4 linked regions of the Oryctolagus cuniculus genome follow. The protein of the gene in region 3 interacts with the protein of the main gene of each other region in a pairwise test. Links are inferred from orthologs where the notes say so. Each region holds a gene or a part of one and is shown on either strand. Other genes may lie near its edges.

Region 1 (4,201 bases), on a different chromosome or scaffold from region 3:
GGCTGAAAGAGAGGGGTGAGAACTCCCAGGGCTTCCACGGGCAGCCAGGGAGCTGCAGAACAGGTGGCAAGGAGCTCACCCAGCTCCTGGTGCCTGTCCTGGGGGCTCACGGCCCCACTTCTCGCTCACCCTCCATTCCGGGCCGGTCCCCCTTGCGCCCAGAAAACCTCAGGCGCGAATTCCACCGAGAGACACAAACCCGGTCCCTTTCATCTCTCTCCAGAAGCCTGGGACAGGGCAGCTCCAGCAGGGTTGTGGGCCCACGGCCTGGCGGCTTTGATCTTGTATTCTGTCTGCAACCGCGGCCACGCCGAGGAGATGCTGGGGTTCCTAGCACCAGGGCGGAGGCCGAGGTGACCTCTCATGGGCTTCCAGAAAAGGGGGCCCGGCCCCTCGCCCACAGGCCTGTGGGTGGGGCTACTGCTGCTCCTGGGTCCGGGGTCCCGTGCTCGGCCCACCTCTCTCTCAGGTACTGCGCTTCCCGGGCGTTTTGCGGGCTGCTGGGGGCGGAGGGGAGGAGAAGGGAGCCTGCTTTTCTGGCGTGGGCAGGCCCCTCCCGCTGGCCTCCAGCCCCCGTGCCTCTCTCCTCAGCTTTGGCCCACCACCCCCACTTGTGCCAGACCAGCCCGGACGCCGACGGCCGCCTCCACCGGGGTTTCTTCTGCCCTCGGCTCTCCGACGCCCCGGAGGAGGCCTACTGCTGCCACCTGCGGGCTGCCGAGGGCTCCTGCTGCACGCGGGCAGAATTCGAGGCCCTACACCGAGTCAACCTGTCCGCCCTTCCGCCCCCGCCCATCCTCAGGTGCGGACCCCAACCCGGAGCCACCGACCAGGGGTTCTAGGATCCGGGGCTCTGTTCCCAGGTTCCGGGGTGGAGTGGGGTGGCGAGTTTGCAGTTTGCGGATTAGCGCGGGGACAATGAGCGAAGTCCCGTCAATCATGACACACACTTCTGCAATGGAAAAGTGCCGGGGGCTGCGGGAAGTGGGCACCCACCCTGAGTCAAGGGGTGTGTCGTGAGGCAGAGGGGGTCGGGGCGGCTCAGAAGGGCCTGTCGCGCGTGGATTACACCCAGGATGCCAGTGTCCATCCAAATGTGTGCGCCAATGAGTACGTGAAGATCTACATTTCTCTGCTGCTAACACTCTCTCCTCTCCCATAGGGGCCCGGGCCCGCTCCTAGCGCTGGGCCTCTACAGCCTGCTGCTGGTGGCCCTAATGACCACAGACCTGGTGCACTTCTGCCGTGGCCGGAGCCCGCGCCGGGGCCGCCGCGCACCTCCCTCTAGGTCCTCGGCGGCTCGCCCCCTACGGGTCTCCGCGTGAACACGCAAGGCACGCCTGGGGCCCTCTCTGCGCCTGCGCACGGAGAGCCCCGCCCCGCCTGGGCAGCACGTCCTCTCCGTGGCTCCGCCCCTTCCCTGACACAGCGCTGGGCGGGGCCTCTCGCGACGGCTTCCGGAGCCTAGACACACCCCCGCCCCAGAGACTGCGGCTGCGCGGGGAAGGGACATCGGCTCTGCGATGACTGTGAGTGGTCCAGGCACCCCCACCCCGAGCCCCGGCCCGCCGTCCCGGGGTACGAGGCTCTTCCCGCACCTCCGCGCCCCTTCCCTGACCATACCCTGGCCACCGCCTCCCGCGTTCCTGGCTCTGCACGGCGCTCGCCCGCGGGCCGCGCTCCCCGCTCCCTCTCCCCCGAGCCCACCGCGACGCGGCCCGCCGCCCCCTCCCCACAGGCCAGCTCGGCGGAGCAGCTGCGGAAGCAGGGCAACGAGCTGTTCAAATGCGGAGACTACGAGGGCGCCCTGGCGGCCTACACCCAGGCCCTGGGTCTGGGCGCGACGCCGCAGGACCAGGCCGTCCTGCACCGGAACCTGGCCGCCTGCCACCTCAGGCTGGTGAGGAGCCCCAGCCTGGCCACCCCGCTTTGTCACATGTCTGGGGGGCCGCGGAATGGATGGGAGGGGCGTGGGTGACTGCCACGCGGCCGGTCCCCGGGAGGGGGGGACCCTCCGCTCAGGCACCTGCTCTCTCACAGGAGGACTATGACAAAGCCGAAGCCGAGGCATCGAAAGGTAGGCGAGCGCCGGCTCGTGACACGGGCGACAATCCTGGGGCCACTGCATCACCACCGCGTCTGCTGCTGTGACCCCCTAGCTCGCCTGCCTCCTCCCTTCGCACTTGCTGGGGCCTGCCCTTTTCACAGCTACCTGTACCTTGTCTGGGGCTGGAGTACCGAGCCCCACCTCTGTCTCCCACCCCCACCCCCACCCCTTCCTCTGGCCCTCCAGAGCTTTCTCTCCTGCTCTCGCCCGGACACGGTGGCCTCACGGGTGCTGACAAGCTCCTGTTTGTGCTCAGCCATCGAAAAGGACGGCGGGGACATCAAAGCGCTCTACCGGCGGAGCCAAGCCCTGGAGAAGCTGGGCCGCCTGGACCAGGCCGTGCTGGACCTGCAGAGATGCGTGAGCCTGGAGCCCAAGAACAGAATCTTCCAGGAGGCCCTGCGGAACATCGCGGGCCAGATCCAGGAGAAGGTATGGGGGATCCGGGCACCGAGCGGTGGTGCCGGGTGGTGGTGCGGGGGTAGGCACAGCTCCCTGGGTGTGGGCGCGCAGGATGGTGCCCGGCGAAGAGCAAACTACAGGTGCAGCCTGGTGCTGGTAGTTGTCACCGCTTAAGTGGTGAGATTGGGGGGCAGGGCTCGTGTGACTGCTGGCGGGGGTGGAAATTGGTACAACGTCTGGAAGTGTTAAATGCTCATAATCTGTAATCTACTATATTTACCCCCCCCTTTGGTACGTTTTATTTATTTATTTATTTATTTGAAAGGCAGAGTGACAGAGAAGGGGAGAGATGGAGAGAGAACGCTTCCATCTGCTGGTTCACGCCCTAAATGCCCGCAACAGCTGGGGTTGGGCCAGGCTGAAGCCAGGAGCCCCGAACTCCAGCCAGGTCTCCCACGGGAGTTCAGGGACCCTAGCACTTGGGCTGGCTGCCGCTGCCTCCCCAGGCGTGAGTGTTAGCAGGAAGCTGGATTGGAAGCAGACTAGACAAGACAGACCAGGCACTCTGATATGGATGTGGGTGTCTAAGCTGCAGCTTCACCTGCCCACCACAGACACCTACCCCAGTGTGTTCACTTCTTGCTGTTTTCCCTGGAGCAGGGGCGAGGGAACCTTTTGTCTGCCAAGGGCCGTTTGGATCTGTCCACCGTCATTATGGGCCATAGAAAATGATGGACTTAAAAAGCAGCCTGCTGTAGTTTGCGGAATTTTGAGTCTCTTCGGTGGTTGCCTTGGCCAGAACAAATGATTTCGCAGCCTTATATGGCTCAGACACTGAACGTTCCCCACCCCTGCCCTAGAGAGGCCTTGCCTGCGTGCACGAGTTTGTACGCGTGTGTTTATTGCAGCCTTGTTTCTAGTAAGGAAAACTTGGAACTCGCCTAAATGCCTGGCAGGAGGGGAATGGCTAAATACCAGGGTGATGTCGTCACTGCAGACTCCCGTGTTGTGGTTACTCAGAACAGGCGGATCGGAGGCAATGGGAGAGCCGGCCAATGAGGAAAGACTGCTCAGTAACACACAGTGTGTTAAAATGGTCCCCCACACCGAAAACTGCTTTACCCTGGGGGGTGGGCGTCCAAAGGAAAGGACGAGTATATCAAAATGGTAACACTGTGACCTCTGGGGAAGGAAGGGGAGTGAGTGGAGTCCCTGCGTCATCCCTTAACTGTTTTAAATTTGAGAGGCAGAGATGGGTTCCTGTCTGCTGGTTCACTCCCCAAGTGCCCACAACAGCCAGAGGTAGACCAGGCTGAAGTGGGAGTCTAGGTCCCCCACGTGGGTGGTGGTGAGCCAGTTATTTGAGTGGTTACCAGTGTCTGGCAGGAAGCTGGAATTGGGAGCGGAGCCAGGACTTGATAAGGGCCCAGGTGTACTGAGGACAAATGCCTGCCCGTCAGTATTTCTCAAAGAAGGAACGGTGTGTGGTACACGTGTTTCAAAGCTAGTGGAAACAGAATCTAACGATCGCCATGAGCTACCGCCAAGCCTGTGTCAAGCAGCTACTTTGGTGTTAAAGTGGGCGTTGGTGCTAGCAGTTAAGAGGCAGCTTGGATGCCTGCGTCCCGTATTGGAGTGCCTGGGTGCACACCCCAGCTCCACTCCTGTTTTTGGCTTCCTGCTAACGCGCAT
Region 2 (4,111 bases), on a different chromosome or scaffold from region 3:
ACAATTTCCCTTATGTCAACATTTCACTTTAGTATAGCACTCTTGTCACACTTAATTAACCAATAACCAATATCGACATAGAATTATTCACTGAAGCCCAGCCTCAATTCAAATTTCTGTAGTTTTTGCCCAGCATCCTTTAACTACTTCAGGTCCCACCCAAGATATCGCATCACATTGTCACAGGATTTTTTTTTTTTAAGATTTTATTTATTTATTTGAGTGCTAGTTACAGACAGTGAGAGGGAGAGACAGAGAGAAAGGTCTTCCATCCGCTGGTTCACTCCCCATATGGGGCCAACGGCTGGAGCTGTGCCAATCCAAAGCCAGGAGCCAGGAGCTTCCTCTGGGTCTCCCATATCGGTGCAGGGGATCAAGGACTCGGGCCATCTTCTACTGCTTTCCCAGGCCACAGCAGAGAGCTGGCTCAGAAGAGCAGCCGGGACTCGAACTGGCACCCATATGGGAGGCCGGTGCTTCAGGCCAGGGCTTTAAACCCGCTGCGCCACAGCGCTGGCCCCTGGCGCAGGTCTTTAGGCTCCTCTTAGCTGTGACAGCTTCCCACGGCTTTCTTTCTCTTCCGTGACAGGCCAGGCAGTCTGTAGACTGTCCCTCGCCTGAGGGTTGTTTTTGGTTTTCTGATTCCCCCTGTGACTAGGTTGGCATCATAGGTTGTGGAAGGGAAGTGTGGATCTCTTCCGCAGTCCACATCCTATCCACGTGACTTCTCAGAGCTGGTGCCGAGGGAGGGTCTGTCAGGTTCCCCCACTGTGAGGGTACTCATTCTCCCCCTTTCCACACTGTTGTCTTTGGAAGAAATCCCTGTGCACAGACTCTGTAAGTTGGGGGTGAGGCTTCCGGGTGCGGCATCTCCACAGACTATGCAGGATTCTTCTGTGGGAGACCCTTCCTCGCCACTCACTCACTCCTCCAGTCATCTAGAGTATGAGCCCACGACTACTTCTTTCCTTCCAACAGTCATAACATTTCACCTGTTTAGTTTCCCAAGGCAGGTGTATTTTTAATGCTTTGAGTAACTCAATGCAAAAACTACTCCTTTTGGGCAGTACCAACACTCAAAGAATCAAGATCCAGTTCTCAGCTTCGCAGCGCCCAACTTCCTGACGCCCCCAAGGGAGGGGAGGACCGCGCTCGGGGTCTCCTGGGCTCGGAGACCCTACTAGTGCCGCTATTCCTCGCCCTTCCCGGCGTCCCAGCTGCTCCGTGGCCCCGCCCACGGTGGGGCGGAAGTGGGCGCGGCCTCAGGGCGGAAGCGCCGGGTCGGGCGGGCCCTCCCGCGCAGCCAGCGCCTTCCACCCCGCCGCCGCCCCACCCCTCCGGCCCAGACCGGAAATGAGATCAGAGAGGGAAACCCTGGCGGGGAGACTCGGCCCAAAAAGCGGTGGCCATTGGAGGCGGCTGCGGCAGCCGGTGAGGGGGAGGAGCGGGAGGAGAGGGTCGGGGTCCAGGGGGCCAACGCCAGAGGGGATCGGGGCTGGAGTCTGAAAGGTTCAGGGCGTTCTGGGGCTGCAGCGGCCGGAGGCTGGGGCTAGGGTGGCGGGGCCTTGCTCTTCAGGGCCCAGGGCCCCCATCCCTGATGATGAGCAGCGGGCCACCCCCGGGGCGACCGCCGCCTCCTCTCCCCGCTGCTGTCTGCCTCCCTTGGCGGCAGCGTGGGCGCGCGGTGCCCTGAGCTGTGATCGCCCTCGCCCTCAGCGACTGGCCGGGGCGTGGTGAGGGTCCCTGGAAACACGATTGTCCTCACCTGTGTGGCAGCGTTGCGCCCCCGATCGCGGAGGGCGCTCGGTCGCCACGACTTGCTCTTTGGCAGCTGAGCCCCCGCCCCTGGTGAGCCCCCGCTCGCCGCACCCGGGTCCTGCGCCCAGCGCCCGCCGCGCCTCCTCGCTGTCCCCCCCACTCCTCCCCGCTTCCGCCGCTTCCCCGGGCGTGACTCACACAGCCTCACCCTCTAGTGGGCTGCGTGCTGCACCGGTGCCTGGCGTGCGGGCGCCCCAGGGTCCTCCCCTCACCCCCTGCTTGGATCGCAGCCTTGGAGGCAGGAGAGGATGCTGTGCCGGCAGGCACTGGACTGGCGGGTGTTTGGTGACTTGGTTCCACGTGCAAGTTTGTGCAGTTCTGCCTGCCCGAGTTCTAAAGCAGGCGTTCTTTATGGGGGCGGTGGGCTTAGGCGTTCTCTGCCCAGCGGCTTCTTGCGGTTGCAGGGGTGCGTTGCCTCTCCTCCTCCCGTCACCTGTTACTGCTCTGGAGGATGTGGGCTTGTGATGCGTGTGGCTTTGGGACTCGCTGGTGGTTTTGGACCTCGGTGTTGCCTTTGCTCTCACAGAGGTGGCACCTCCGCTTTCCTGCCTTGGAGCGCAGAGGCCAGGGGAAAGGGTTTTAGAGAGCCTTGTGCAAGATACCAGCTTCGAGAGGGGAAACGCAGGCTGCCCGCGACGCCGCAGGGTTAAGCCCCAAGTAGGGTCTTTGGGCTTAACGAGGGTTAGGGGAAAGGTGCTAATTTAATGTATATTTAATTAGGTGTTGCACAGATTATATTAGACATTTCCCTTTAAAAGAAGAGTTTTGGAAAATTGTTTGTGTTCCCTGTGGTGTCTCAGGTGACTCAGGAAGTGTGAGAGTTTGGTGAGCATGAGTAGCAAAATTGGAACTTGGGAAAGGAGTTAGCCAGAAAGTTCAGCGATTCTCAGCCCTGTCATTTCAGCATAGTTGTACTCTGGTTTTGCAAGGCGGTGCGGCACCAAAACACATACTTAGGATGATCACTTGTTTTCTGAAGGCTGGGGTGAGCAGCTTAAACGTTGCCAGTTACTCAGACACACGTGACATGTCCAGTGCAGTTCCAGACCTAGTAGCTTCCAGGTTGCCCGCGGTACCAGGTCAGGATGGATGAAGCTTGGTCTCTTGCCCATTCTGAGTACAAACTCGGGTCCCTAAAACCGCAAGCCGCCGTTGCCCCCAAGTTGCCTTGCCCTTCCCTGCCCTGTGCGTTCTCAGCAGGGACCCAGACCGCAGGATGGCCCTTCAGCCGTTCTCCCCCCGGGAGACTGGATTCTGCCCTGTGTTTGCCCAGCTCAGCAGCTGTGTGATTTTCTGTCTGATGAGGCATTATCAGATAATTCAGTGACAAGTTTGGGGGAAAATAGGCCCGATCTATTCTGAGTTTATTTGCCTGGTTTTGTTAAGATTCCAGTTGACATCTGATGAGCGTTTGAGCTTTTGTGCTTAACAACTCCTGACTTCAGCCCTTTCACAAGGGCTAAATACGGGCATTTAACACGGACTGGATACCTGTTTTAGTGACTTAAGGGAACATGGGTGGTTTGAAAGATAAGTGTAGCCAGGGGGCCAGCGCCGCGGCTCAATAGGCTAATCCTCCGCCTGCAGCGCTGGCACACTGGGTTCTAGTCCCGCTCGGGGCGCCGGATTCTGTCCCGGTTGCCCCTCTTCCAGGCCAGCTCTCTGCTGTGGCCAGGGAGTGCAGTGGAGGATGGCCCAAGTACTTGGGCCCTGCACCGGCATGGGAGACCAGGAGAAGCACCTGGCTTCTGGCATCGGATCAGCGCGGTGCACCGGCCGCAGCGGCCATTGGAGGGTGAACCAATGGCAAAGAAAGACCTTTCTCTCTGTCTCTCTCTCACTGTCCACTCTGCCTGTCAAAAAAAAAAAAAAAAAAGTGTAGCCAGGGGACTTTATATTTTCTGTAGGATTCTGCAGTTCTGCCATCTGTCTTAAAAAATTACTTGAACACAGTGGACCCGAGTCAGGCTTTTTTTTTGAACTTCCTTTTGCAGATGTGGCCCTCATGGATGAGCTGGTACATGACTTAGCCTCCGCCTTAGAGCAGACCTCTGAGCAGAATAAGCTTGGCGAGCTGTGGGAGGAGATGGCCCTGAGCCCGCGGCAGCAGAGGCGGCAGCTCCGGAGGCGCCGGGGCCGGAAGCGCCGGTCTGACTTCACGCACCTGGCGGAGCACGCCTGCTGCTTCAGCGAGGCCTCCGAGTCGAGCCTGGATGAGGCCATCAAGGACTGTCGAGAAGTGGCCCCGGTCACCACTTTCAGCGACTCTGATGACACCACGGTGGCCAAACGG
Region 3 (3,940 bases):
TGGGAGCCGGCTGCCCCGCGGCCCGGTGCGCCCCCGGGACAGAGCCAGCGGCCCGCATGCGCTCAGGGACTCCAAACTTATGCTTTCCTGTTTGCGGGATGCAAACCCGAAACGCCCAAGCGCCGATGGCACGCATCAGAGTGTTCGGTTTCCCAATCAGTGGCACCATAGCGCAGTGAGGAGGAGTGTGTGGAAGGAGCTGGTTTGTGTGGGAGCGGGAGAGAGGCGGTGGGGTTCTGGAGGAAAATCAAGGGCCCTGGGTTGCCTCCTGGGGGAGGAGGGGGCGAGGCTGGGAGCACGCGTGCAAATCCGCACGTGGCATGTGACAGGGACAAACTCTCTTCAGAATCTTCCCGGCCCAGGACAGCTTGCTCTAGATGGACTGGTGGCTGGGAAATGGAGTGGGACCAGTTTCGCTGTGACGGTCAGGGGGCGGGACGCCAAGGCAGGGCACCAGTAGGCGGCTCACGTCGGGATGCCTGGGCGCGGGCTTCCGCGCACTTTCCGCCGGCTCACCGCACCCAGTCCCGGTCCATTCGGTCTCGAGCGCTGCCCACTTGCGGGTCGCGCTGCGCAACTCCGCACCTGGACCCTACCCCAGAGCCCGGTGCCCGGCCGGCGCACACACCTCGGCGGCAAAAAGCCGGGCGCGCCTTGTGCCCCGGGGCGCACGCAGCGAGCGAAGTCTGAGAAACTTCTCGCAGCGTGCGCTAGACTTGGCTCTGCTCTGCCCTTTTCAGCCGCGCTCACTCCCCCAGGGGTTGGGCGCACCCCTAAGCTTTCCTGCGGGTGACAGTTTCCAAATGGCACTGACAAGTCATGGTGCGCGGGTAGGGGCTGGGGGGTGGGTGCGGAGCCGGGACTGGCGGGATCCCGGCGCCTGGTGCGCGGCTTGCAGCCCGGGGCTGCTGGCAGGGCCGGGCGGGCGGGGACACGCGGAAGGACTGTCCAGCCGGCAGTGGGAAGCGGGGCTGGGAGCGCGGGGCGCAGACTGAGCGGGCGCGCTGGAGGAGCTCGCATGTGGTCAGCGCCAGGCTCCTAAGCCAGCCCCCGGCTCACGTTACACTCTATTTATAACCTCCCAGAGCCCTTCCTCCCCCCCCCACCCCACCCCCCAGGCGTATAGTTCTCTGGGACCACCTTCTTTTGGCTTCGACCGCTCCCACTCTTGACATCCGAGTCGCTCGGAGGGAAGCTCCTCTGGGTCCCAGTGTTTATATGTGAAGGAGACCGGCCCGAGGGTTTAGGACAGGGATTACACGAGCGCTGCCGGAAAGCCCGCGCGGCTCTGGCCTGGGGACACAGGGGCGGCGTAGGGTGCGGGGGAAGCCACACGATTGCCACGGAGAAGCGCCCGCAGGCTGGTGGTGCCAGCGTTGGTGCGGTCGTCTTGAAGTCTTCCCGCCTGGAGCCCGCGACTTGCATGCTATGGAACACCCGCTCTTTGGCTGCCTGCGCAGCCCGCACGCCACGGCGCAAGGCTTGCACCCGTTCTCTCAGTCGTCGCTCGCCCTGCACGGGAGATCCGACCACATGTCCTACCCGGAGCTCTCCACTTCGTCGTCCTCGTGCATCATCGCGGGATACCCCAACGAAGAGGGCATGTTCGCCAGCCAGCACCACCGGGGCCACCACCACCACCACCATCACCACCACCACCACCACCAGCAGCAACAGCACCAGGCGCTGCAAACCAACTGGCACCTCCCGCAGATGTCCTCCCCGCCCAGCGCGGCGCGCCACAGCCTCTGCCTGCAGCCGGACTCCGGAGGGCCCCCGGAACTGGGCAGCAGCCCGCCGGTCCTGTGCTCCAACTCCTCCAGCCTGGGCTCCAGCACCCCGACTGGGGCCGCTTGCGCGCCGGGGGACTACGGTCGTCAGACGCTGTCACCCGCGGAGGTGGAGAAGCGAAGCGGGGGCAAGAGGAAAAGCGACAGCTCAGGTAAGGTGCGCGCCAAGGACCCTCGGCCGGAGTGCAGACGCAGCTGGGTCGGGCCAGGGCGGCAGTTTGCAAGCGCTGGAGGCTGCAGCGGGGCACAGCAAAAGCTGGGGCAGTGTCCAGCCCGCGCAGGTTTGGGAGATGCGGCTGTGGTCCCAGTTACTTGGGGGGGCGAGGGGAGTGTTACCCTTGTGCGCAACCTACACGCAGCCAGCAGCGGCAGCTCTAGGCTTCCCAAGGTCCCAAACTACTTCTCCAGAAGTTTGAGACCAAAGGGGAGCGAGTGACAGTTTGTGAAATCGATTGCGCGGCGTGACGGCCGGGCGCGGCGCCGGGAGGGGCGTGCGCCTGGGGATGCGTGTCCGTGGGGCGGGCGTGCGGGTGCGGCTCCCGGACTTCTGCCTCGCATGTTCCCGACTCCGAATGGCTCGCTTTTTCCCATCGTTAACTGGCTTTCCAAATCGTTGCACAATATTTGGAACCTTGGAATGGAACTTGGCAGAGCGTATGAGAAAAAAAAAAAGTTTTAGGTTATTTATTTATTTATTCTGGATTTCAGGATTCCTTAAATAGCAACCTATTCTAAATGGTAAATGCTTCCCTTTCTTGGGAAAGGAAGATAGTGTCTAAGAAGTTTTTTTTTTTTTTTTTTTTTTTTTTTTAAGGAGCATGTCAGAAATTTTTAAACAAATAGATGACGAAAAGTATTGGAGAAAGACGATTGTTAGGAGTAGTTAGTAGTATTCGTATGATACCAATGCAAAGGGAGAATCGAAGAGGTTTCAGGGTGGAAGATCAACTCCTCTCTCAATGAGTGCAATACGACAAAAACTGGGAATCCAAGGGCAGGTCCAGTGCTGTCTGCTCAAAGTGATACGCGCAACGGGGCACCCACCAGGCGTTCGTCTGCGTGCCCGGAACCTAACAGCCCTGGGAGCGCCGGAACGCGCAGCTTGCCCGGGAAATCTAACCACAGAGGCAGGTCTGCAAAGCCCTTACCTGCCTGCATTGTGATGAAATTGTTCAGAGGATTTTTCACTGAAGGGGAGTTGTGACCCTGGGTTCCTTCGTGTTTTAGGAAGATGTCATTTGCGCAATAGAACACTTAGCGTGTGTTTCTTTTGCGAAATTGATGTCTATAGTCCCAGAAGATAATCTCAGCCGTGGGTTGAAAGAGTTGGCAGATGTCTATCTCCTGTAAAGCTTTAGGCCACATAAAGGACGCAGATGGAAATGAGCGTTGGAATTGCTTTGCAGCGATGCTACCGATCTTTCTTCAGTTTAGCCTGCGCTGGATTTCTTTCGACTTTTACTTTCCAGGGTCAGGGGTGGACCATTAATGCCCCATCACAAATTAGTTAATATCTAAGAAAGTTACTAGCGATGTCACTCATTTTTAATGGGTTTTACTAACTACAAATGAAACTCTCTTAAGACCAGTTGAAAGGTTAATCCCAGCAAGAAGGTTTTCATCTTCATTATTTAAAGATAAATAAATAAACAAGGGCCAGTTTTAGACAGCAATGGCCCTTGCACAGACTGGGCGCTGGATATCAGTGTTGGTGTGGAAGCGGTGGCAGTTCAGGCGGTTCGGGCTGATGAGAACATCCTTCTAGAACTAGAAGCTCTGAGTGAGCGGCCCTTCTCACTCTCCGCGGGAGAAGCCGGATGATGGGCTCCCTCCTCAGGCGTCCTGACTCAGCCCAGTACCCCTGAGTGTCTTAGGGCAAATCCGAATTTCATAGGGCAAGTGTGATTTTGTTTGGGACAGATAGAGAAAGTGGAATACAAGAACTGATGCCCACGAATTGTTTCAATGAAACTTAAAAAAAAAAAAAATTGGCCTCCTTTAATGCTCCTTAGCTCCTCTCTCATGGATGAGAAATTAGCCATATAACAAAGTAAAATTCATTTTTACATGTTGAAGCTGATATTTAGGGTCCATGAAAAGCAAGTTTGTGTCAGCCGCATAAAGTATTGATAGATTACAGCTTGAGTGGG
Region 4 (3,936 bases), on a different chromosome or scaffold from region 3:
TTAAGTTGTACTCAGTGAATACAGAAAGATATAGGAGCTTCTGCCACTGCAGGTCCTGAAAGCACCCTAGGGCCATGCAGTCCAGGTTTGATTGAACTAAGTATCTGCCAATTAGGAATCATGGCTGCAGGAGCTATTAAATCAAGAGTCTTAGGAAACGAAGATTCCCTAGAAAACCCTCACACAGAGAGCCTAAGAACTGAATCAAGGCTTTGCCACTGTCTCTCTGGGCGGCCCTGTTGGAGTTCAACCCCCAAGAGCCTTGATTTCTTGTCCCGCGGTAAGTCACAGGCCAGGGTCGTTTGGCAATTAAGAAAGAGGCATATCTTCAAGGAACTCCTTCCAAATTTGCCTGGCATAGGGGAGTTGTTGAAGAATGTGGGATGTGAGTCTCTGGGAAGATTTCCCCCACTACTGTACTTTCAGGGCCAGCCTTCCTGGTTACATTCCCGAGATGGGTGCAGCGCTCAACTCTTAAGTCCAAATCAAAAGACCGCAACGGACCCGGGGTTTTTCTCCAAGAGACAAGGAAGGAAGCCAGCAGAAGCCTAACAAGCCGTGTGCAGATGACAGGCGCGCGGGCAACAAAATCTGGCGGGTCCCGCAACTTCCTCGAGGGCGGGGGAGGGGAGGAGCCGCGGCGGACGTGTAGCCCGCAGAGTATCCATTCCGTGCCCCTGGCCCCTGTCTTCCTGCTCCAACAAAATCGGCTTCTCTGGAGTGCGCCCTCCCTTCTCTGTGCGGGCTGCGAGCGAGACCTAGCGCTGCCGCTCACCTGAACCTTCCCGCGCTCCCTAGCTCCTCCTAACCGCGGCGACAGCAGCTCTCCGGGCGCTGCTCCCCTCGCCCCCCACCCCCACCCCGCAACGCCCAGGGCTCCCCGAGTTCCTGGATTGGGAGCGTCAGAGCATCAGACACCACCCGTGCTCTCCTGCCCCAGAGGCACCGGCTGGCTCCTTCCTCTCGGCTTTGGCTGGCAGAGCACACACACAGGGTGCGTGTCCCTTGAGGAAAGGGCGCCCCCTTCACCCTCTTCGCCCACCCCGGCAGAATCTCGCTGAAGCTTGGCCAAGGTCCCTTCCTCGGCCAGCCCGGGGGGAGCTCCCTGGAGGCAAGGGCGCTTTCTGGGACACAGTTCCACAGCCTTCTCCACCCCCATTTCTCATACGGACGTGGGGGGAGACTGGGGTGCTGGGGAGAAGAGAACGTGGCAGCCAAGTCCCTTTACCCGTCCTACCTCTAAATCACCCCACAGCATCCCCTCAGTGAGCTGGCATTTCCCTTCAGCACGGTAACTCTACCGAAAGCCCGCGGGCGACACCCCACAAAAACCCCGCGCTTCTGCTGCCCGCCCCGGGCCCGCCGGGCCGGTCCCGCCCGGGGGCAGCTTCCCCGTTTTCCCAGGAGCAAAACGCGGTCTACGCGCTTTGTAAGTTGCCCACCGCCCCCCCGCCCCCGCCGGAAGCACCCCCATGAGGGTCGAACCTGCGCCCGGCGCGGCAGCGGGGAGGTCTCCCCCAAATCTGCGCTCGCACCAGGTCCCGCCCCCTCTGACCCCCCTTTTCCCGCCTCCGCTAAAGCTCCAGTCCCCGCGCTCCGGCGACTCCGGCGCCCAGTGGACCCGCAGCTCGGTAAGAGGAAACTACTTTCTGGGCAGCATTCAGGTCGGAGCAGGAAAGGATGTCCCTGGCCGGCCGGGGCCAAGGGCGCACTCACCCCTCAAAAGCGCTCACCCCACCCGCTGAGACTTTTCCCTCAGGCCACCAGCGCTACCAGACTTTGCAGTCCACAAGGTCCCGCCAGGTCTGATACCGCCACGGAGTCACCTCAGATTTTTTTTTTTTTCCAGAGACCCTACCTGTCCCGTGTGGCTTGCCAAACACGAGTAAACAAAACACAAGCCCCGCCGACTTCGGGCCGTGTGCGTGTGTGTATGTGAGCGCGCGCACGAGCAAGAGAGCATCGCCCGAGAGTTCGGCAACAGCTGCAGGAGCATCTGGAAGAGGGGGAGGGGGCGCCGCGAGGGGACAAGGAGCACCCAGCGGCTTCAGGACCCAGGGCCCGGCCAGCCTGGCGTTCCTTACCTGTCCTATGTTGAGGAATCCGTACTTGCTGGCGATGCGGTCGGCCTCCGCGAAGCCGCCGGAGATTTTGACTGCCCAGTGGTTGGTGTAGACGCGCGTCCGGCACACCGGGAGCAGGCAGCCCCCGAGCAGCGCTAGCACGCACAGCAGGTCCAGTCGTCCCGGGCAGCAACAGAGGTTCCCCCAGCCCATGGTCCCGGCGCCTCGCTGCCTCTCTCCCTCGCTCGCTCGCTCGCTGGCTCTGCGCGCTGAGCGGCGCGCACAACTAACTTCGGCCTGGGCCGCCCCGGCGCGCAGCCCCGCGGCTCGCAGCCCCAGGCGATCGGCAGGAGGCGGCGAGCGCCGACAGGGAGCAAAGCAGCGGACCTCTCGCCGGCTCCTAGACCATCCCTGGGGCTGCGGAGACCCAGAGCTCCCCGCTCTCCAGCCCGCGGGGCGGTCAGCCGGCGCTCCTCGGCTCCGGCGCAGGGCGGGCGCCCTCCGCAGTTGGGTCTCTCCGGCCGGGCTCCGGGACTCCCCGACTGCCTCTTGCTCCTTCCTGGGCCCCCAAGAGCGGCGAAGTCGGCCGGCGGGGGCAGTGCAGCCAGCGGCCGGGCGCCCCCTCTGCTGGCCCGGGCTCCGAGCGCTCGCTGGCTGGCTCCCTGCGCTCTCTCCGGCACCGAGCAGCGCGCGGGGAGTGAGAGTGGCAATGGCAGCAGCGCCTGCTCTGCATAAATGACTCCCCCCGCCCCCTTCAACACCCCTCCTTTCCCACATCCCCCTCCTCCGCCCTCTCGAGAGAGGCCGCGGCCAAGCGCCAGCCGGGTCCTAGCGCCTCCGCGTTCTCCCGCTGTAATCTCCCGAGTCCCGGGCGGCCGAGGCAAGCGAGTCTTCTCAAATGACACGGAGGGGAGCTCCGGGGTCTTGATTTAACCCCTTTTTTCCCCTCTCTTCGTTACAGGATTTGTATTCTTCCGCCGCCCGTTTCCGAAAGACCGAGATTGGCACGCTGGTGCGAGTGAAGCGCCCAGAAGATTCATTCATCCTCTCCCTAAACGTCCTTAAACAACTAAGCATTTAAGGAGGTCACTGGCGTGTCAATTACCCAACAAATAACCCGAGATTTTCACTTCGTTAATTCTTCACGCTTTTCAGCAACTGTTTATTTTACACATTCTACTCCTGGGAGGAACTACCACCCAGGACAGCACATCGCGTGGACTCTGGCAAACGCCAATCGCCACGGCTCCAAAGCCAGGTCCAGCGCCCGCTGACTTTCGAAATCGGCGCATCCGATAGCAGGCAGAGCCACGCGAGAGCAAAATTCCAGCCGGGGAACTGAGGAAAGGTGTTTCTATGAAAATCTGGTACAAAAATGGATGGAGATGTTGGGCCAAGGGAATACTTCATTCATTTGTTTCGTGGCTCCTTTCTCCCCACCAAGGGAAAAAGTTTCCCAACTTTTCCAGTTACAGCCCTGTAACCACTACAGGCTTTAACAGAAACAGGACCACAGAGAAACTTCTGATGAAGTATGCGGCCGCCTTCAAGGCTCACTGCATGCACAAGGCAGGAGGGAACTAGGATGGACTCTCTTCCAGCTTTTCCTGTACAGCCTCTCTGCCTTGTGCATGGGGCTGATGCACAAACGGTGAGTTACTGTAAAAGAAAGAAAAATCGTCCTCATGAATGAAGCCAACTTGCCTTTAAAGTCTTTACTATAGCCTGAACTCGCCCACCCCTGTTTTTCTCCCCTTCCTCCCATGTCCTGTTCTCTTTCTTCCTGAGCGTTAGTTAAGCCTATTTGATAGTCTAACCCATCACGTCTGTCGTTTCCAGTAATGATTGTGTTATCTAAATATGCTTGCAAACA

What was found. The genes of interacting proteins can lie anywhere in the genome.
Region 1: the proteins of MEOX2 (region 3) and UNC45A interact in binary tests that used the Homo sapiens proteins (3 or more experiments, as listed by UniProt). The two-hybrid records come from large-scale screens. The link is inferred for Oryctolagus cuniculus from reciprocal best matches to the Homo sapiens genes MEOX2 and UNC45A.
Region 2: the proteins of MEOX2 (region 3) and GPATCH2L interact in binary tests that used the Homo sapiens proteins (3 or more experiments, as listed by UniProt). The two-hybrid records come from large-scale screens. The link is inferred for Oryctolagus cuniculus from reciprocal best matches to the Homo sapiens genes MEOX2 and GPATCH2L.
Region 4: the proteins of MEOX2 (region 3) and PCSK5 interact in binary tests that used the Homo sapiens proteins (3 or more experiments, as listed by UniProt). The two-hybrid records come from large-scale screens. The link is inferred for Oryctolagus cuniculus from reciprocal best matches to the Homo sapiens genes MEOX2 and PCSK5.

Annotation. Positions count from the first base shown.
Region 1 is NC_091443.1:100,330,543-100,334,743, reverse strand, and holds the start of UNC45A (protein unc-45 homolog A), read left to right. Parts: upstream 1-1,401; 5' UTR 1,402-1,523; coding exon 1,524-1,529; intron 1,530-1,738; coding exon 1,739-1,900; intron 1,901-2,040; coding exon 2,041-2,077; intron 2,078-2,293; coding exon of another isoform or gene 2,294-2,363; coding exon 2,364-2,539; intron 2,540-4,201. Other genes in the region: protein shisa-like-1, read left to right, coding at 364-469, 592-802, 1,163-1,325.
Region 2 is NC_091451.1:22,120,136-22,124,246, forward strand, and holds the start of GPATCH2L (G patch domain-containing protein 2-like), read left to right. Parts: upstream 1-1,311; 5' UTR 1,312-1,431; intron 1,432-3,812; 5' UTR 3,813-3,823; coding exon 3,824-4,111.
Region 3 is NC_091447.1:7,289,576-7,293,515, reverse strand, and holds the start of MEOX2 (homeobox protein MOX-2), read left to right. Parts: upstream 1-1,140; 5' UTR 1,141-1,428; coding exon 1,429-1,942; intron 1,943-3,940. UniProt on the Homo sapiens protein: Mesodermal transcription factor that plays a key role in somitogenesis and somitogenesis and limb muscle differentiation. Required during limb development for normal appendicular muscle formation and for the normal regulation of myogenic genes.
Region 4 is NC_091432.1:154,377,776-154,381,711, forward strand, and holds the start of PCSK5 (proprotein convertase subtilisin/kexin type 5), read right to left. Parts: upstream 2,801-3,936; 5' UTR 2,277-2,800; coding exon 2,085-2,276; intron 1-2,084. UniProt on the Homo sapiens protein: Serine endoprotease that processes various proproteins by cleavage at paired basic amino acids, recognizing the RXXX[KR]R consensus motif. Likely functions in the constitutive and regulated secretory pathways.